2 linked regions of the Diceros bicornis minor genome follow. The protein of the gene in region 2 interacts with the protein of the main gene of each other region in a biochemical or structural test. Links are inferred from orthologs where the notes say so. Each region holds a gene or a part of one and is shown on either strand. Other genes may lie near its edges.

Region 1 (10,768 bases), on a different chromosome or scaffold from region 2:
CAAGTAGATGAATGCTGCTCCAGAAAACATTTAAAAATATTTTAAGGACCCACAACCACTACCAGGCATTAGGGATCAATGCTTAAAAACTACCTACACATTTTTTCTTAAGTAGTTTCATTCTTTTAAAGCTAAATCACTCCTACAACTCTTTCCAATCTTGTATATTCATTTGACATATTAGTGACTATAAAAAACAAAGACATTTGGATATCTCTAAGAAAATCATCAATGAAGCAATTCTGAAACTGGTTGCCCTGTAAACCAGGAAAGCTGGTAGGAAGCACAAAAAATTACTTAATTCCCAACTATATTTCTGTCAGATATTTCATATTGCCACACACTTGGACTATTACATGAAAAATTAGACAGCAGTTATTTTAAGCATAGTAAATACGTTCCAAGATTTGCGATGAGAGAGGTCAGTCTCTAAAAGTTAACAAGACTTAATACCTTAACAATGCTTTTTCACTCTGTACAGTTGAACAAATCACCAAGCTCATTTCTAAACAACAATAAAACAGCTGATCAATTTGTTAAACTCTTGCCAACAAAGCAACTATTTTTTTTTTTTAAGTTCAAGCTGACTTCATATTGTATCTTGTGTGGACAATCACAAGTTTCCAATTATGTAGTATTTTAATGTTCTTTTATTTTTAGGGTAAGGTTTTTTCTTAAAAGCTAGGTTTTTGTAAGACAATTATTTTTCTAACATAACTTATACTCTATTTTAACCTGGACACTCTCAAGAACTTCTATAAAAATCAAACAGGTTATAAAGTCTACAAGAGATTCCCCCTCTACTTTTAAAACATAAACATAATGATCTTAATTTGCTTTATTCCGACAAATTTTTTATTGAAGTTTTGTCCCTACCCATTTCCTGTGTTGCACTGTGCATACATTCTCTATGGTTACTATTCTCAAACTAATAATAACGATTCTCTAACACAGTGCATGAGAGAAGCCAAGCCTTGACTATCATCTGACAGTTCCTGTAAATTATTTTAAATGGTTACTGACATATGCCTTCTTTGATGCTTCTGTCTTTCAAGAAGTAGGCATGAGCACATTTTGGAGGACCCAGAATGGTAGACTGAAAGACAGGAATGAACATCAGATTGAAAGCTATGAATTAGTTTCAACTCTAACACTTAGAAATTATGATTTTAGAAGAGTCACTAATTCCCTATGCCCAAAAGCCCTTCAATGAACAATCAGACATCTCTACATTAAAAACTTTCCCCATTAATTGTAACTTAAGATATATATTCGCACAGAAGAAAAAAACAGAGCCAATTACAAATAAGGGAGTAAGAATCAGGGGCTAGCCCAGTGGCGTAGTGGTTAAGTATGTGTGCTCTGCTTTGGCGGTCCGGGATTCACAGGTTCGGATCCCGGGTGCGCACCTAGGCATTGCTTGTAAGGCCATGCTGTGGTGGCATCCCATATAAAGTAGAGGAAGATGGCACGGATGTTAGCCCAGGGTCAACTCTTCCTCAGCAAAAAAGAAGAGGATTGACATTGGATGTTAGCTCAGGGCTGATCTTCCTCACACACACACACAAAAAGAATCAATTACACTGAATCCTATTAAATCCCCTCCTGCCCCCCAAACAGAAAAACTGAAGGTGATAAAATGCTCAGAGAATTGCCAGGCATCTTCCTAACATTAACCTATCAATCTTCACAACACTCATGAAGCAGATGTCAAGTACCTCCAGTTTTACAGACTGAAAGAACCGTAAGACTGACTAATTCTTCCAAGGTCACACACAGATCAGATTAAACTAAACTCTAGGACTTTGTACTCTTCATAATTTCAAATCAAACAATGTCAGATCAAACTGAAAAATGCTATAATTACCTCACTCTGTATGCTATCCTCTGTATCTGTGTGGTCCATTTAGGTAGCCACTAGCCACATGTAGCTATAAGGCACCTGAAATGTAGGTAGTCCAAATTGAGATGTGCTGTAAGTGCAAAATACAAACCAGATTTTGAAGACTCAGTATGAAAAGAATATAAAATATCTCATTTTTTTACATTGATTACATATTGCAACAGTATTTTGGATATATTGGATTAAATAAAATTTATTGGACAGCACTGGTCCATACTTCTTTCCAAAGACCTCCCAATGAAACAGCTGTTATCATAAAACCTAAATCAAAAAGCAGTATTTTCTCAGGATTTGTTGTTGCACAACATAGAAACCATATTTGGGGGTGGAGGAGATGAGCATAGTTAAGTGTTTTGACGGACACAGGCATATATGTAATTAATAAATAGACAAAATAGGCCATTCTGGTGTTCTCTAAGGATAATAAAAGATGTTTCCATCTCATCACAAGCATATGTGACTTTGAGTAAGTCACAAGTGAGGACAAAGTATGACTTTCCATTAGAGTCATATGTCATTTCCTTAGGTGGAAAAGTGAAAAGATTCCTATTCCTAATGTACACACAGGGTTATCAAAGTCACCAGAGGATGCCCAGAAGGCACCTTTAACTTCTCCAAAAAATCTGCCTAATGTGTATTTATAGCTATTTTTAAAAATCACATATCATAATATTATTCTAATATAGAGTCAGCACTTAATCTTATTTTGACTAAAGTAATAAACAAGAGGTATACAGCAAGTGGAAACATCAATTTAAAAAACAAAAGGATCACTTGAGAAAACAGTTTGGCAATCCCAATAAAGGCTACACATAAAGTTACTATATGACCCAGAAATTCTACTCCTAAGTATATAACCAAAGAGAAATGAAAACATAGGTCCACACAAAAATGTGTATATGGATGTTCATAGCAGTATTATGCATAATAGCTAAAAGGAAGAAACAATGCAAATGTCTATCAACTGATAAATGGATAAACAAAACGTGGTATATCCACGCACTGGAATATTATTCAGCCATAAAAAGGAACGAAGCACTGACACACTGACACATTCTTGTTACAACATGTGCAAACCTTGAAAACATTATGCTACCTGAAAGAAGCCAGCCACAAAAGATCACATATTGTATAACACATTTACATTAAATATCCAGAATAGGCAAATCTAAAAAGACACAGTACTTGGGAAATGAAGAGTGACTGCTAATGAGTTTGGGTTTCTTTCTGGGGTGATGAAAACGTTCCAAGATTGATTGTGGTGATGGTTGCACAACCATGTGAAAACACCAAAAGCCCACTTTAAATGGGTGAATGGTATGGTATGTGAATTACATCTCAATGAAACTGTTAGAAAAACTGCAGCCAGAAATGTAGGGGGAAAAAAGGAGTAGAAGGATTCATCAAGCACCTAACTGATATTTTTCGGGATTTTGTAACTTTGCAGTATTTAAAGTTTTGTAATTTGTGATTTTTTTTCTCATTCTAAATATTCATATTAGTCAAAAATTTTTTCATTACATCACTACACAACTCGGTAAACTTACTAAAAATCATAAATTGTACATTTAAATGGTGGTTTCTATGGCATGTAAATTATCTCAACATAGATGTTAAAATTTTTTCATTAAAATAAAGGGATCACAAGATTCATGTCTCACGTTAACCTTAAAACAATCAGAACTAACAGCCACAGCCCCAGACAATAGTCCCTCAAACTATGAAACCACTAAGACAGCACAAACTACCCTAGAGACTGAATGGCTTTGTGTAAAGGCCCCCAAGCAGTTACTACCTCAGTCAAGCAATGGTCAAAGTCCAGAAACAGGTGATGGGAATTTGAAGATCTCAGTACAAAAAAGTACAAAGGGACAACATAAAAAATACTACTTGACCGCTTTCTCCTAAAAGCTAAACTCTTGATTCAGATACAGAACGGAAGTATTAAAAAAAGGAAACAAACAAAAATCCTATTTATCTAGACTCTTAAAGCTGAAGGGAAGAAGTCTTCTACCAGAAATCTGTGATTTGTGTGTATGTGCGTATTTGACCCTCACATCTTATGTAGCCGGAGAACCTCGAGAGCAGCTCTATCTAAGATAATGAAGATTTTCTTCACTCTCTTAAAATAATAAAACGTGAGGGTGCCATTCCAGAGCCCACCCCATCCCCCACTACCACCACTAGCAGGTGGAGGGCAACAATACTGTAGATTAGCGGATGACAGCTTTCTATAACCCTCTGGACTTTATACGTAAGAACGCAGCTGGAGGCTCTCAGGAGGCGGTAGAAAGATTTCTGAACAAGCTGAAATAAGGGCTATCCTTTGCCTGGAAGAGGGCACACTGTGAGCCACGTCTTGAGTCAGCTACATCCGAATAAAACACAGGCTGCTGGAAGGCATGTCAGCATCCCCAGGAGGGGCATTTCTCCACGGAGAAGCGGACTGCCGTAGCTCGGATACCGGGGGAGACAGGAGTAAAGCGGGGGTCGGGAAGACCCGCCGACATGTCTGTCAGCGCACACGCCCCGGGCCGCGCCGAGGAAGTTCCGAGCCCCCTCGGGGGCCGCAGGCTCGCTCCCCGCCGCCCTCCCGCCCCCTGCCGCGGCGCCGGCGCCCGAGCGAGCGCCGGAACCCCGCGCCGGGGGAGCCCTCCCGGCCCGGACGCGCCGGCTCCGGCTCCGGCGCCGCGGGCAGGCCTAGGCCGCAGCCCAGCGCCGCTCCCGGCGGAGGCCGCCCAGGCCGGCACCAACTTCCCGGCGCGGCCGCAAAGGCGTCACGGCGGGCGGCCCGGCGCCATGCCCGGCCCGGCTCCGCCCGCCCCCCGCACTCGAGGCCGCCGAGCGCCCGCGCCCCGCCCTCCGGCGCCCCGACCGTACCTCCAAGTCGCGGCCTTTGTTCTTGAAATTCTTGAGCCGCTGGTTGTCCAGTTTCTCGTTGTCCGCCATGGCCGGGCCGGAGACTCCCTCCCCGCCCGGGCCCCGCGGGATCCGCCCCAACCACCACGCCGCGCCGACACTCCCGGGAGCCGGGCCGCCAGCCGCGGCCTTCCTCCTCTCCCTGCCTCGCGCGGCCTCCTGCTCCTCTCCCCGCCCGCCCCCCGCCCTATCCGGCGCGACCGCGCTCGGGCTGAGACAACTGCGGGGCCGGGCGGCAACGGCGGCGGAATGCGCTGCCGGCTGAGAGGGGGAGGCAGCCTCGGTCTGAGGGCCCGGCGCCGCGACCACGCCCATCCCGCCAACCCCGCTCGCTGATTGGCTACCCAGGCTCCGGCGCGCTCGACCAATCAGAAAGGACGATGGAGAGCGGGGGCGAAGAGAGCAAAAGGAAAGGGGAAGCGAGCTGCGCTGGGAGGAAGGGGCCGGCGGCCGGGAAGTCTGGGAGGGGTGGGGCCCCGTGCCGCCGGAGCGCGGGGGAGGAAGCGAAGGAGACTGAGACCGCAAGAGGGGAGCGGGGGAAAGGGAGGAGCCCCGGAGCGTGGTGGTTTGCTCCGGGCGTCCTGCTGCCGCAGATGTCCGGGGTCCGGGCTCGAAGCCGAGGAGGAGTACGTCCACTGTTTCTCGGGTGCGCCCTCTCGCCCAGGGTATTCCCTGCGCTCTCCGCCGACTTTACAGGAAGTGAGGGCTGCGCCTGCCCCATCGCGGGTCGGGACCCTTCTGCCCCACCAGCTCCGTTCCCCGGAGGCGGCCCTGCGTCTGAGGGCCGGGCTTCGGGGCAGGACTGCAGGGTGACGTGCTTTGGGGGGCGCGGCGGGAAGCGGGAGGGTTGGTGAGTGGAAAAGGAAAAGGACGCGTTAGACAAATCTGATTCATCTCCTCTGACCAAGTCCCCGCAACAGGTAGGAACTTTGGAATCGCTGATGATCCTTTGATGTTAGCACCTCTTAGGTATTCGGTCTTAGAGAGTAAAGAAGCTTCTTGGCCATCAAGTACTAACTTCTGGAAGGCGGGGTCTGTGGCACATGACACAGTAGTGTAATATTGTAACTCTGTTGAGAAAGGAAACGAATTCGAAGATCATACATCCCTACCAGGAATATTATTATCAGAGGCGAAAATAACAAGCTACGAAAGAACGTACTCAAATATTTCTGGAAAGGGGAGAAAGAAAAGGTTTAAAAATATATTTAAATACCAACTAAAAGTACTTCAAATGTACAGGTAAACGTGGGGTAGTCAGCAGCGACTGAGGTCGGAAGGAAAGCGGCAGGGTAGAAGCGTCGGGTGTGTTTCAGTTTGACGACGTAGTGGGAGGAGACCCTGATTCAAACTCCTTTGGGAACTTTCACTCCTCATCCCCTTCCCTCCCACTTCCATACTAGCATTCTTTTTGAGTAGAACAGCGTGCAGAGATAAAATGTTTGAAATGAGAATAATACCTTTAAAGTCCTCAATACTTGGTATACTTTCAGCTTCCTAGGCAAACAGAAGCTGTACATGGAAATAATCCACACTGAAGATTAACTTGAATGTAAATTCAGTGCCGATTTTAACTTTAAATCATGACATTCATTATAAATATTCCCTAAAGAATCATTTAATTGAAGTACCATTGCACACTGGGGCACTGATGTTTTCAAAATGAGTTTAGGATAAGAAATTTCACTTGAAAAGCTGGAATATGTGTGTATTTTCCCCCAACATGGATATTTGTCATGAGCAGGATTCAAGAAAACAAATTATTGGTGAATTCCACCCTATAATTAGAAGTGATCTTGTCGACATGCGTATGTAGATGAATATTTTGTACTTGTTGGAATAAATTCCATGACAGCTTTCATGATAAAGGTTATAAAATTGTCTGCTGAAGGGGGAAGAAGAGTCTCCTCTACCCGCTCTGGGCCTTCCTGGCTGGGCTACAGATTAAATTGAAATGAGACTGAAGAGCAGGAGAGAAAATCAAAGTTTAATGACATGTATACATGGGAGAAACCAGGGACACTGTGTTTCTCTACAAACCGCAGAGGTGTTCGCCTTAAATAGCCTGTTCAGATAGACAAAGGAGGGTGTTGGGGAGGGAAAGACCAGAAAGCACAGCAATCAAGAGAGTGTAGATTTAAGTCTTCTCCTCCGTGCTGATAAGAGTTTCCAGAGATAGGGTCATCCCCCGCTCTTCCCAGTAGAGAGAGGTAGATACCTTTACAAATGGAGATTTCCCTTACAAATGTAAATGTTTGGGCTTCCCAAGGACCCTGCTGGTATATCCATACCCAGAGTTAAATTCGTTTAGGCAGTTAGGGGGGAAGGTCAAATGTCCTCCAGAGAAAATAATGAAGGTAAAGAGACATATGTTGAGGTGGCCAATTTCGCTCTCCCACACTGCCATTATGTCTCCCAGCTACAACTGATTGTCTCTGATGATTAAACAACTCAAGGTTCTCTGCAGAATACTCCTAAAACAAGGGCATGATCACAGTTCCCCACTGAGTGAGATGCAGTACAAACAGGAAATAACCACAAAGTGATTTTGGTTTGTTTTTTAAGGTCTGTCTAAAGCCTGTCTCCCTCTCTAGACAATAAGCTCTCTGAAGTCAAGGACCATATTTGTTTTGTTCTCTGTATACCCGCACCTAGTAGTACGTGGCACATAGAATGCGCTCAGTGACTGTCAAATGTAAGACTTGAATCTAAAAGTCTTTGGTTATGTTTCATAAGTTAAAAACAAGGTAACACTTCTTGATAAAAGATGTGAATTGAGTTGCTATTGCTTATGATTTACACTGAGTTCCTTCTAAGAATACTTAATTTGGTATCATACTCATTCCAGGGTTCAGGGAGTAGACGAGACATAGGTTTCAGGGCATACCCCCCCACGTGTTTAAAAGTAGTTGTGACACACTTTGCTAAGACTAACAATTATCCTTAATTATAATGCTTAGGTAATCTGTTTGCTGGCCTAAATTTTTCATTTGAAATTGTCACTACCTGTTTGCCAGCCAGTTTAAATGTTTAGTGTCTATACTTCCAGTTCTTCCCAGATAGAGGATACATAACTTATAACAGGGGTAAAGAAGTTTTTCTAGAGTTGGTGATACAGCCATGTGTTGCTTAACAACTACAGGGATTGATTCTGAGAAATGCGTCCTTAGGTGATTTCGTTGTTCGATCATCAGAGTGTGCTTACACAAACCTAGATAGTATAGCCTACTATACACCTAGGCTGTGTGGTACTAATCTTATGGGACCACTGTCATATATGTGGTACGCCATTGACTGAACTGTTGTTATGCAGCCCATGACTGTAGCTTTAAATGCAGATTGGCAGCCTAATTAGCAAGATACAATAGCTCTAACTGTAGTTTCAGAAATTTAACTTGCTGAATAAGAAAGTAGTCAGATGCAGCCATTAATACCGTTTCAACATAGACTATTTAATATTTAACAAAGATGTTTTTTGTGTATATGAAATATACTTGTAACCAAACACTATGAAACCTATATATGAGACCTGTTTTCAAATAGGATATTCAGTGCCAGGTAACTTAATATCCTGACTTGTTAACTTGGTATAGAAAAAGACTGAAATATGGAAATAACTTATTTTCAATGTGTCATGAAATTCTCCTCTTAGAGTCACTTTCTGAATAAAGAATCTTCCTCTGTTCTGCAGCAGATATTTATGAGAGGATTTGTGAAGGTTTACACAGGGTTTTAGTTGATCAAATATAATTTCAAAAAGAATTATGATTGATAATTATTTAAGCAGTTTGGAGTAGTCTTATGATACTTAGATTAAATTGAAGATTGTGGAATCTCTCTTTAATTTATAATATGGATCTTATCGTTTCCGTTACTGTTTAGGGAGTACCTTGGATTTTGTGAGATTACTTGAGCAAAACTCTAGGTAGTATTTTCTGAAACAAGACGCAACTTTATATGTTGCTAAATCTTACTAAACTGTAATTTATGTTTTTTGTAGTTGGAGTAGTTCTTTTTTTCAGAGGAAAACATTGGACCTTTGATAATATACCTTTATTTTCTTAGGAAAACATAGTTGATCAGGTATTGGGGGGGCTTCATTCATTTCTGTTTATTGCCAGGACTTTTCTGACTTATAACTTGAGGAGCCTGGAGAAAACTACTTCTTTATTTTGACCAAAGTCCCTGAATGGTAAGAGATGATGAATTAAAAAGCTAAAAAGCGTTGATATTAATTTGATTGGAGAGGTGAGCCACCCAATTTTTCTTTAACTTAGTTTTTTTAAGCTTAGTTTTGACTAATTAATTGAAGAAAAACTAAATTTTTTAGTTCAGTTGATAAAAACTGAATTTATACTCATGTATACAGATCATTGATTATTGGTTGATATCTATTTGTATTGCCACCAGGCAAACATGCATAGATTTTCTAAAGCTTTTTTTCACTTGCTTTTCACTTGAGCCTAAAATATTGGAAAATGAAAGGATATGTGTATATATATATTTTATATATATAAAGGATATATGTGTATTTTATATATATAAAGGATATATATATTTATATATATATATAAAAATATATATATATTTTTTATGGTGAGGAAGATTCACCCTGAGCTAATATCTGTTGCCAATCTTCCTCTTTTTACTTGAGGAAGATTGTCCCTGACCTAACATCTGTGCCAGCCTTCCTCTATATTTTGTATATGGGAAGCTGCCACAGCATGGCTTGATGAGCGGTGTGCAGGTCCACACCCAGGATCCGAACCTGTGAACCCCGGGCCCCCAAAGAGGAGCAAGCAAACTTAACCACTATGCCACTGGCCTGGCACCTGTATCATTTGTTTTTAATTATTAAGAAGTAATTAGCACAGAAAGAACCACTTAAGAAGCCAAATAGTCAAGGAGACTATCATATGACCTACAGCAGTGTTTCTCAGAGTTCCCCAGAACTGGATGTTAGTGAGTGTTTCTTAAAAAAAAAAGTTTCCTTTGTGTGACAGTTTTAGGAACTTGGGGGTGGGTGGGAGTGGAAATTTTGAGACATTAGTATTAAGCAGAATGCTATTTGGAAACTTGAAATCATTGAGCCTAGACCCTCAATTTAAAAATTTTGTGTTAACAGCATCAACCAAGTATAGTGACGTACAAATGAGTGATATTTCAAAAGTTTACTTGAAGATTAGTTCTTTGAAACATGTGCATGAGAACATGGTCATGACTAGTGGGTAGGTGTTCAGGTTAGCTCACAAAGGCTTATTTAATTTGTCAAGTACTTATTTGAATGCCATGGAACCTTGTCACAATATGTGACAGTGTTTCTATAAGGAAAATACTTGGATTTACAGCTTTGGTCAGCAGGAACACATCTCTTCTCTTTGCCACTATGCACCAGGAATTGTGTTAGGTGATGCAATTACAAAGATGACAGTGTTCCTTACACTTAGAATTCCGTGAATTAGACATTCTGCAAATTCATAGTTTACCTGATGTTTTGGGAGCCTGGCCTAGCCCTCACCGGTTAGACTCTCATGGTTTCTAGTAGCCTAAACTGGTAGGGAGGAGGGTTAGGATTCTAGGGATTGGGAAATAAGGAACTGGGAGTGGGTGGGGTATAGGCCCAAACCTCTTATCCCACTACTTCTCACTTCAGGCAGGCTCCCTATCCCTATTTTTTTTAAAACATTTTTTATTTTTTCCCCTCCAATTATTTTATTGCAATCATAAAGATTTATAACATTGTATAAATTCAGGTGTACATTATTATTTATCAATTTCTGTATAGACTGCATCGTGCTCACCACCAGTAGTCTCATTTTTATCCATCACCATACGTATGTGCCCCTTTACCCCTTTCACCCACCCGCCAGCCCCCTTCCCCTCTGGTAACCGCTAATCTGTTCTCTTTGTCCATGTGTTTGTCTGCCTGCCACATATGAGTGAAAT
Region 2 (11,043 bases):
AGGCCTAAATAAATTCTCATCCAAATTAAAAATAACTTTGGTGTTAAGAGTGATATGCTAAAAACCAACCAAACAAAAACCAGTCAATTACAGTTCCAACTGTGTCTTATCTCATTTACTATTGTGTAATTTAAGATGAGAAAATGAATGGGGACTATAAGCCCCACGATTTCCAGTGACTGATAAAATAAACTTCATTTATATCAAATTACTGAGCTAAAGATTAAAATGTTATTACATAAGCAGACCCAATGTGGATAGAAATAGCTCTACATATATTGAAGGAGACTCAAAGTTGGCTTTCATAACCTAGTTCCAAGTCATGAGCACCTCCATGCAAGATTGGAGAGGGAAGGAGGTATATAACTAGAAAGAGAAGTTACTGCCTTAAGGGGAACTAATTTACCTAATGCTGACACCTAGAAAAAGGAAACAGCAAATATGATGTGCATAACCATGACCTGCACAAGCACACCCACAGGAATCCCCCACTGGTTTCCCCTCAAAAACCAAGGACGAATCAATGACTGCACAGATGCTTACTTACTATGCTCTGTGCCTTATCCATGTAAGACAGGCCACTAAAGAATCTCATTAACTAAAAAAAATAAGAAAAAAGCGAACATCTGTCCACATATTCTGAATCCTTTGCTGTAGCTAGAATTATGGATTTCTAACTCAGCAAAAAAGTCACAAGAACTCCATGGTGCAGAGCAACAAGGGACATTCAGTTTTCCTCAAAATTCATCAGTCCAGCTCTTTAAACCCCTTGATAAAAAGCCAAATGTTCCTAAAAAAAATTTTTCATAATTTGCTAAGTAGATAAAAGCAACATTAACGTCATAATCTTATTTTGCCAACTCTTTGGGCTTGAAAGGCCCAAGAGATCATTTAATTCCCCTTCTGACTGCACATAGTGCCATGCCTAAACCAGCAAACAACGAAAATTATCTATAGCAGAAGTTCAACAAGAGCCAGGTGCTGGGTGACTATGGAAGAATCACTTGGGAAGACAGTTTAAAAAATATCCCTGAACCTCACTCCAAATGGGAATCTCTGCAGGGAGCCTGGAAATACATATCACTAACAAATTCTCTAAGTGATTCTGATAGTCCAAGTTGGGAACCACCAATTTGTCTACCATGCAAATTCACCAGAGACTCTACAAATTCTGGCATCTAATTCAAGTTTCCCAAACTGCTGCAGTCTATCTCAGTTGTCTAAAAAAAAATTCCAATGCATTAATGGGAACAGACAAGCTGAACTGAGAAAGAAGATTTAAATCAAATACGATTTCTATCTTCAAGTGAAGTTTAGGTCCCAGAAACCTATTACACTGTCAGCTCTATCCCATTTAAATGACAAAAAACTGACAAAGATGTTTCTTGTTCCCTAGGCTAATATGACCAGAATGAGATGAAAGTCACTTACATAATTCTTGACTTCCCGTCGAGCATTAGCATCAATAGCAAGCCACCTCTGCTGATACTGTGCCTTGATATCTGGATCTTTAGATGTCAAAGAGTTCTTGATTTGTAGACCAGCTGCAACTCTGGCAACCTGACTGTTTCCTGGATTTGCCAGCACTCTGGACAGTTCCACAAGGAAAGTGGGCTGTTAAGAGAAGATGCATTTGTGAATGAAAATCTCTCTTAGGAATTTCACCAATTGAGAATGAATTACAGAGCACCAAAACACTGGAGAAAATCTAAATTTTTTAGAACATATCATAACGTCTCAGAAAATGTCAAAATATCTACTTCAAAACTCTTATAAAAATGTTACTTGGTATATAAAGAAGTCATCCATGTTCTCATGCAGCCTCAGCATTTAACAAAGAGTTAGAGATTTTCCTACCAACATCAGATCTTCACATTAGATCCCTCAGTACTAAAGCAAATTTGACAATGTGGTAGTGAGAGGATTCTTCTCTGTACTTACAACAGTGCCTAGTACTCAATAAATATTTGTTAAATGAATGAACATGTCATGACAGGGTAGAAAGTAAAATTGTTTTTCTAAATTTAAAAAATCTTAGTCCAAAAAGAATGATACTCAAGGTGGATTTTGATCTCATGGAAGCAGGTAACCTTGTAAAAGAGAGGGAAATACTTATAAACCTAAAACATGGACTTCGGAGGTTAGTTCTATTTTAGTTCTAAGTGTTCAGTAAAAGGGGAACAATGAAAAAAGCAGATTTACAAGGAAAAACATAAATATTTAGGAATAGGGGAACATTGAAAAGTTAAAAATGTCAAGGAAAATAATTTTATATTTAATAGTCAACAGTTAATACGCTACAACCTCCTATACATTTTGTACCTGAGTTATCCACTAAACATACTGGATTCCTGAAAAGCATCCTTAATCTTTTGTAATGCACGGGTCCCCAAAACTACTCCCTTTGTTTAAAAATTGTAACACACTCTCCTCTTACCCGCAGAAAGCTCTGTGCAAATGGAAAAGTTAACAGGAAAAACCAAAAGCAGGTACTTTCTTACCACTAACAAGTTCCGCAATCACAGCAGAAGATAATTCTTAAAAGTTTTATTAATTATGTACCACTAAAGAATGTTAGGAATAAGATGTTAGGAACAAGATAAAAGCCTTCTTGCATATTAGCAAAAGTAGAAACAAGAATATACCCTAAATGGAAATGTTATCAGTCTACACTAGTGCAAAATATCTTTTCTACAGAAAGTCAAGGATAAAAAGATTAGTACTAAAAACTAGCACATATGAGGGGGGAAAAAAATGATTAAAGGCAGTTTGTATAAAATAAGCCTCGTCACTTTTTTTGTTTACATTACTTTGCCCAGATAACACAAGGGACCACGTTTAATTAGTGTTATTTAGATTTATTACCTAATACTTTTTAAAAGATGTCAAGTATCATCCACCCTTCCCTCTGCTCCCCATCCCCCCCAACAGGAGAGGGACACCAAAGAGAAACATTACTGGTACACAGGCTGTTTCAACCAATCCATCCCACATTTTTATTTCGAGATCCAGTCTCTAGTGGACTTATCTTCATTTTTTGTCTGTAGCCCTTAAATTTGAAAATACGAAAAACGAGGAACTTTCCTCTGTGATTTCATCTGGACACAGGCCCGATCTCAAGGATGAGCCTCAGCGGGTTGTCTGGGTACAGATTAAGTCTCCACTCAATTGATGTAAAAAAAAACACCCCAGGAGAGGAATAACCAGGCAGGAAACGAAGAAATACTGCCGGAACGGGCATTTGGGTGCCAGGCCTGGTCCTGAGCACAGACCAAGGGATATAGGAAAGCGTAGCGCTCTGGGAAGTAGGTGGAGAGAATCTAAAATCACATGGGCCACGGGACAGGAGAGAGAAGCCGGCCCGGATGAGACCAGGCGGGCAGCCGGGCTCCGAGCTTCCACATGGCCCCTAGGCCCGGCTCCCCCACCCCCACCCTTGCTGAACACGCAGCGCCGCGCAACCTAACTTCCCTTCCCTCCCTCTTTCTCCCTCGCGCTGCACCGCCGCCCTCAGGCCGCGCGGCGATTGGGCGGCGGTCACCCCGGCGCGCCGCGCCATTGGCCCACTGCGGGGCCCGGGGCGGGACACACCCACCGGCTTCCCGATGGCGGGGTTAGGTTGGACCGGGCGGGGGGAGGGGGACGGGATGGGGCGGGGTGGGTTCCCGAGGCCTGGGCCTCCGGGAGGGCGGGAAGGCCCGCACGCAAGGATGGGAGACGGCGGGATGGGGACGGCGGCCGGCACGCACCAGGTTCTCCACGGCCGCACGCTCCAGGAACTTCTGCGCCGCTTCCAGTTCCAGCCGATCTGGGGGAAGGAAAGTGGGAAAGGGGACAGGGTCAGAAGGGCCGGGGGTCCCTCTTCCCCCACCCGGTCACCTCGGCGCGACCCCCGGCCCCCACGTCCTACCGGGGGACACGGTCTTCTCGAGGATGGTGATCAGCTCCATGGCGGAGAAGGTGGCAGCGGCTCCTCCTAAGACGACGGCCCGGCCTCTCGGGCGGCGGCTCTCACTGGGGATGGGGGTTGGGGGTCGGGTGGGAAGGGAGGGTGGGGTGGGGGGCGGGGGTCACCACAAGCCCATTCACCGGCTCCCTCTTGGTGGTCGCTCCGGCTCCCCTGCCTTCCTCCTGGCCTTCCTTCCTCCCTCCTATTTTGCTGCTGGCGGCGATGGCAGCTGCTCCTCGGGCGGCGGGGGAGGGACCCCGGGGGCAGCTAGGAGCGCGGCTGGTGCTCGGGCGGCGGAGGGAGAAAGAAGGAAGGGAGGCGATAAGTGAACGGCGGCTCGCAGGGAGGGAGAGAGAGGAGGGAGGAAGGCGGAGGGATATTCGGGCCGGGCCTCTCCGCGGCGGCACCGCGCTCCTCGCCGATTGGCTGCCGCCCTGGCCACGCGGAATCCCCAATTGGCCGGGTGGGCAGCGTTGAAGGGCCGCCATGCACCGATTTGCCCGCCAGTTTCAAGGCCCGGGTTAGCTGGGCGGGCAGCGGAATGGGGCGTGCGGATTGGTCGAGGGGAGAGAGGTCGGGGTGGGGCAGGCGAGAGCCGGCCGCTGATTGGGTTGGCCTGGTAAAGGCCTTGAGCTCCGACCGGCTGCGCGCTGGGAGGAGGGTGGACCGAAGGCAAGACTCTGGGCCCGCGTGATTGGCTGGGATCCTAGACGTTGATGGGATAGGGCGCCCGGGAGAACTGGGGAGAGGAGTTCGGGGTCGCGGCCGCGGGAAGGCGGGAGGTGCCCCGCCGCTTTCGGAGCCCGGCGCGGGGCACGACGGGACGCCTCCGGGAAGGGGCGGAGCCGTGTGCGGGCTGCGGTTGGGGAAGCGCCGTCACTCCGAGGGGCGTGTTGAAGAGGATTTCGCGGGCCCGAGCGGGGGAGGGGGGACCGTTAAAGCCCTGCACCGCGCCCACAGGAAGCTGCTTTAATGGTTAGGCCTCCTTGGTACCAGGCTCTCGGCTGGGAAGGACTTTGAAGACCATGCGGTTCAACTTTCTATTTGCAGATGTGGAAACTGAAGCCCAGAGAGGGTATGCAACTTGTCCAAGGTTACACAGCGGGTTAGTGGCCTGGTCTGGACTGGATTCAAGCGCTCCTGACTGCCCTTGGCCTTACACGCAGCTTCCTTTCCAAGGAGGAGAATGCGCATGCAGATCTTTTAGATCTATTTATAGGGTTTGAGGCTTGTGCTGTTTTAAGGCCTAACTCACGTGGGATGGGCATTTGGATTTCTCTTAGACGCCCCATCCATAGCTACCAGGTACTTAAAGGAATATAAATGTTTCATCCTGCGAAGGTGCCTCTAATCAAGGCACAACCGTGAGCCAGCAGGAATGTGTGTACAGGCATAAAGGATCGTGGTTCTTAGCCTTATTTAGTTCTAAGCCCTGGAAGAAACTAATGAAAGCCTTTCCTTAGCAGAATGCACATAAAGAAAATGTGCATACAGTTTGACTTCCCTGACATTGGTACATGGACTCCCCGTGAAGAATGTCCTGAATTACTACATTTTCATTGTATTGATCTCGGGGTAATTGGATATAGCTTATAGAGCTCTTTACCAAATAGCTTGAGCTTGTGGAATAATTGCCCTACTCTAGTCATACTGGGAATACCTGGGAGGAACTCCGTCCTCTCTGAGAGATTCCACCCAAGAATTAGAAAAGCTTGGGGCGGGTACTGTGGCATAGCGGTTGGGTTCCCGCGTTCCACTTCGGCGACCCGGGTGTTCGCCAGTTCGGATCCTGGGCACAGACATACTCACCGCTCATCAAGCCGTGCTGAGGCAGCGTCCCACGTAGAAGAATTAGAAGGACCTACAACTAAGACAACTGTGTACTGGGGCTTTGGGGAGAAAAAAGAAAAAAAAAAGCTTGGCCAGCTACCTTTAACCTTAAAAGAGAAAGAAGAGGTCTTTCTCTGCTAGAGATATCTTTGCAGTTGTGATGCTGGAAGTGTGGGGACACCATTCCTCACCTCATTCTGTGACTAGCGGATTTCCTGTGGCTTAGCCGTCCTCCTAACCCGGCCTTTGGCTTCATCTGTTAACTGAGGAAGAACGGCCCTGTGTGTAACTTTGTTAGGAATCAATGAAGGTTAAGTGAGATGACCTCCATGAAAATCTTGAACTGCCCTTATGCGGATTACCCATGCTACAAATGATCCAGAGTTTTGTCTCACTCCAAGCCAGCTTTCTCCTGCTCTCACCGGTGTGCTGAGCCACCCCCTCTACTCGACATCAGTCATGATATACCAGTGAGGGCAAATGGATTTTTAAAGTAGCTGAAATAAAATGCTGGGAAGATAAATGTTTTGCAGCAAAGTTCCAGTCAAACAAAAGATCCTTCCCAAAACCCAAGTGAAATGAGTTTTTAGTTGAACTAAGGTTCCTGATGATGCTGGCTAGTCCCTGTCCAAAGCACTCAACACTAGCCTGCACTCAGCAGATGCTAGTGAGGCACCAAAAGGTATTGAGCACACAGACTCCAGAAACTGTCCGCCCGAGTTCATATCCCAGCTCTGCCTCTTCTTAGCTTGTGTGACTGACTTTGCTAAAATGCAGCTAATAATTGTACCTATTTCGTGTACGCTTTTGGAAAGTCTTAAGTGAGTTAATACATGTTAAGGGCTAGGAACACTGCTTGGCATGTTTATATATGTTGGCTATTATGTATTTAGCATGTATTTTGTACTAAGTGAGTGGTTCTTGGTCCTTGGCCTGTTAGAGAAGAAAGACTTTAATCAATTAATCTCAAACAAATGTTGGGGCTGGCCCGGTGGCGCAAGCGGTTAAGTGTGCGCGCTCCACTGCAGCAGCCCAGGGTTCGCCGGTTCGGATCCTGGGCGCGCACCGACGCACCGCTTGGCAAGCCATGCTGTGGCAGCATCCCATATAAAGTGGAGGAAGATGGGCACGGATGTTAGCCCAGGGCCAGTCTTCCTCGGCAAAAAAAGAGGAGGATTGGCAGATGTTAGCACAGGGCTGATCTCCTCACAAAAAAAAAAATTCTCAAACAAATGTAAAGTTGTAAAAATGCCAAATGCCAAAGAATGACTCAGGACACTCAGGGAAAGCTTACTTGAGAAAGAGAAGAGACTTATTCAGGTGGAGAAGGGAGGAATAGCATGTGCAAAAGCCCTGTGGTGGGAGGGAGCTTGGGGATTATAAGGAACTGCAAGAGGGCCAGTACCTCCAAAGCACAGAGAACAAGGGAATGAGGTAAAGCTAGAGTGTTGAGTAGGAAAAAGACCATGTGAGATCTTGCATGCCATGCAGATGATTTTGTCTATATCTTAAGAGCAAAGGGCAGCTATTCAAAGGTGTTAAGAATGTTGGTGGTTATAATGTGGAGATTAGCCTGGAAAGAGGGAAGAGTAGGTGCAGGGAGACCAGTTAGTAGGCCATTGCAATAGTCCAGGTAAGAGATGATACTTGGAGAAAGGAGAAGGGAAGAAGTAATAGTGGAAATAGATAGCAAAATTAATTGAACTTGGTAACTGACTGGAAGAAGAGGGAGGTGTCACTGGTGCCTGCTGGATCTCTGGCTTGCACTGTGGAATGGATGGTGATCCCATTTGCAGTGTTTCCCAAGTAGGAGGAACTGGAAGCCACCTGGTTTAGTAGAGTGGGGAGAGGTACAAGTGTTTCTTGAGCTGTGTATGGAGTACACAGGTTTTAATGTGTTTTCTCTATAACTTTTTGAGTGGCAGGAATATTCATGTCCAATGAACGAATTATGAAATTAAAAAGAAAAACTGGGTTTCATTCTTACTCTACCATTTCCTGCTGTATGATCCTGAACAAGTCACGTAAGCTTTTGGGTCTGTGAGATGGGAGAATCTGGGCCGCACCTTGGGTGGTCTGAGCATACACAGGAGCCTCTCTGAAGCGCTCGGGACAAGTGTCTCGTGCCGGGAGACACTCGCCAGGATCTGTGAAGCACCCAGTCCCCCCATGACCTGCAGCACATACGTGTGAGAAGACTGGCTGCGAGGGGAGAAGCAGTCGGGCTGTGACCTGATGCCCTTTCCTCCTGCGCAGAGCTGACCCACCTGAGACGGGTCAAACTTTGGCCTCATTAGCGTTGAGGAAGAATGGAGGTGAAGGCGACATCTGGAGGACTAAGTGCCCCTCTGCTTGGTAATGGGGCAAACTTCGTTGCCGTTTTCCTGACTTCCCACGCTTCTCCCAAATAACTTAGAGAAGAGAGAGCATTCGCAGAAAAGCAGCCGAGACGTTGCTCTTTCAACTTCAACCCCCAGAAGCAGAAATACTATTATCATCAAACAATTTTCTCGTCTCCCCCGCCCTTCCCTTCGCTCACTAGGCTCCAGCATTCTTTCTGTTCCTTGAAGACACCATGATGTATGAGTCTCAGGACCTTGGCATTCGCTCTTCCTTCCCATTAGTACTGTCTCAGTTCAGATGTCACTTCCTCAGAGAGGCCTTCCCTGACCACCCCATCTAAGGTGGTTTCCACAGATAGTCTTTGGGACGGGACCCTATTTGATTATCTTCAGAAAACCTCTCAGTACCTGAAATTATCTTTTTTTTTTTTTTTTTTTTGCTGTCTGTTCTTACCCCCACTAAAATGCAACTTCCATGAGAGCAAGGATCTTGTCTGTCTTGTTTGTAGCTTAAAATTGTGCCTCACACATAGTAGGGTCAAGTGTTTGTGAAACAGATGAAGCATACGTAACTACACATGCAACATGTCCTTATGGCCTGTGAGAAGTGACAGTCTAGCTTTGTAAAGACACTTTATAACTTAATTTGCCCTCTTTTCCAGTGTTACCCACACTAGCCCCTACATGTACCTTTGATCCATCAAGCCAACCATCTCCCTGTGTCCTGCAGAAGTGCTCATCAGTGTCCTAGGCCTTTCCCCTACCTAGAATTCCCTCCTTGTCCTTCTCTGTCTTCTAAGTTGTACCTTGTTAATTTGTTCATTTAACTACATTAATTTATTGGATGTCTCCCCCACCCCCTAGGGCATTTCAAGCATAACATGAGAATATGATAAAAGCCATAAGAGAGGTACAAACCCAGTGCTGTCATGGAGCTAAAATCTGAGAGGAGGGAGAGAGACTTCTTATTTTCCAGACATAGTTATGAGAACACTTAGTAGACAAGGGAGGATTTGAGCTGAACATTGAAGGATTGGAGAACTTTGTAAATGTAGAGATTGCAATGAAGCCTTTGTTAACAAAGGTTGTGCGCATTGATATCTCTGCTTACTAACAGTGTGATCTTGGGAATGCTTATTTAATGCCTCTGTGTCTCAGTTTCCTCTTCTGTAAAATGGGGATAATAGTCTTAGCGTTGGCTTCGTAGGTACGAGACCTGTACAGTCACATAGGCACTTAGAAGGGCTGGCTTCTTGCTTGGTTTAATGTTCTGCTCTCACCGTATTGAAATGCTTCAAAATTTTTGAACAAGGGGCCCTGCAAATTGCATCCTGATCGTAGGGTTCTTGCAAAGTCCTCAGAAGTTAGCACATGTAAAGTTCTTAGAACAGTGAGGGGCTGGCATATGATGAGGGTTCAGTGAGTGCTAGCTGTTATACTGTTGTTGTTATTCTCTGAACTCTTGCAACAGTATAGCTCACAGTGTACCTCACAGTTTCGCATTTAGACAACCAGCAAATATTCTTGAGTGCCTGCTCCGTAGAGGTACTGGATGGGTCCCAGAGATGAATAGGACAGTATTTGCTGTCCTAGTGGAAGTTATGAAGAACGCATATGTTTTAAACATGCTAATTAGTAATAAATAGCAAATAATATATGTCAAATAGGAAGTATAGGAATTTTTAAAAAATACATTTTGGGGCCCCACCTTCAGAGAGTCGTAGTAGTAGCTCTGGTGTGGGCCTTCAGAACAGTTCCCCAGGTGATTCTAATGAACAGTCACGTTTTGGAACTGCTGGCATTAACTAGGGAGGCCACGTGGAATAGAGACCAAAAGTTTGGCATTGGAGTCGGTCAGACCAGGGTTTGTGTCCCTGCCGTCTGTTACTCTGTTACTTTGCATGTTACTTAGCGTCTCGGTAAACATTAAAACATACTTGTAAGATCGAATTTTAAAATGCTTGAAAAAGCTAAGCACATAGTGGACACTTAATTATGGGTTACTTCCTCTAGAGGGGGAGATGGTATCCCAGGAAGGGGCAGTCACAGAGGACTTCCTGGAGAAGAGGATAATCCACTCCTACAAGGAGTATGATTTGGATGGGAGAAAGGCTTCTAATTATACACTCTAGCAACAGGCAAGATATTAGGTGATAATATTGGAGGAATGCCAAATCACAAAATAATTTATGGGATTTAGTGGCTGATTAGATACAGAGGAGAGGAAAGAATAAAGGTGAGTCCTAGGTCTCCAACTTGAGTGTCTGAGAGTGGGTCATTTTAAAAACAAGCTGCAGGAAGGTGGGGTAGAAGTTAGGGGAGGGGTCGTGAATCCAGTTTTAGAAACGTTTAGTTTTTAAGATCATTGGGGGACATCCAAGAGAAGCTGTACATTCTTTTTTTTTTTTTTTTTGTGAGGAAGATCGGCCCTGAGCTAACATCCATGCTAATCCTCCTCTTTTTGCTGAGGAAGGCCGGCTCTGAGCTAACATCTATTGCCAATCCTCCTCCTTTTTTTCCCCCAAAGCCCCACTAGATAGTTGTATGTCATAGTTGCACATCCTTCTAGTTGCTATATGTGGGACGCGGCCTCAGCATGGCTGGAGAAGCGGTGCGTTGGTGAGCGCCCGGGATCCGAACGCGGGCCGCCAGCAGCAGAGCACGCGCACTTAACCGCTAAGCCACGGGGCCGGCCCCAAGCTGTACATTCTTGACTGGGATTTGGGAGAAAGGCTGGTGCTTGGGAAGTAAGAATTTAGAAGTCAATAGATCAGAAACAATCACTGAGATCCTGAGAGTAAATTATGTCTTGAAGGACATTCTATAAAGGGAGAGAAAGAAAAAAGGTTTCAGGAATGGAAGTGGGGTTCTAAACTAGCCGGTAGTAAGAGTGAGAGGAAGAAGAGGAGAAGAGCAGAGGCG

Evidence for each region.
Region 1: the proteins of KPNB1 (region 2) and KPNA4 form a complex in vitro, tested with the Homo sapiens proteins (2 studies listed by BioGRID and IntAct, with this or other methods). The link is inferred for Diceros bicornis minor from reciprocal best matches to the Homo sapiens genes KPNB1 and KPNA4.

Annotation. Positions count from the first base shown.
Region 1 is NC_080754.1:66,455,716-66,466,483, forward strand, and holds the start of KPNA4 (importin subunit alpha-3), read right to left. Parts: upstream 5,085-10,768; 5' UTR 4,853-5,084; coding exon 4,784-4,852; intron 1,974-4,783; exon of another isoform or gene 1,907-1,973; coding exon of another isoform or gene 1,868-1,906; intron 1-1,867. UniProt on the Homo sapiens protein: Functions in nuclear protein import as an adapter protein for nuclear receptor KPNB1. Binds specifically and directly to substrates containing either a simple or bipartite NLS motif.
Region 2 is NC_080757.1:38,183,421-38,194,463, forward strand, and holds the start of KPNB1 (importin subunit beta-1), read right to left. Parts: upstream 4,271-11,043; 5' UTR 3,951-4,270; coding exon 3,911-3,950; intron 3,809-3,910; coding exon 3,750-3,808; intron 1,615-3,749; coding exon 1,432-1,614; intron 1-1,431.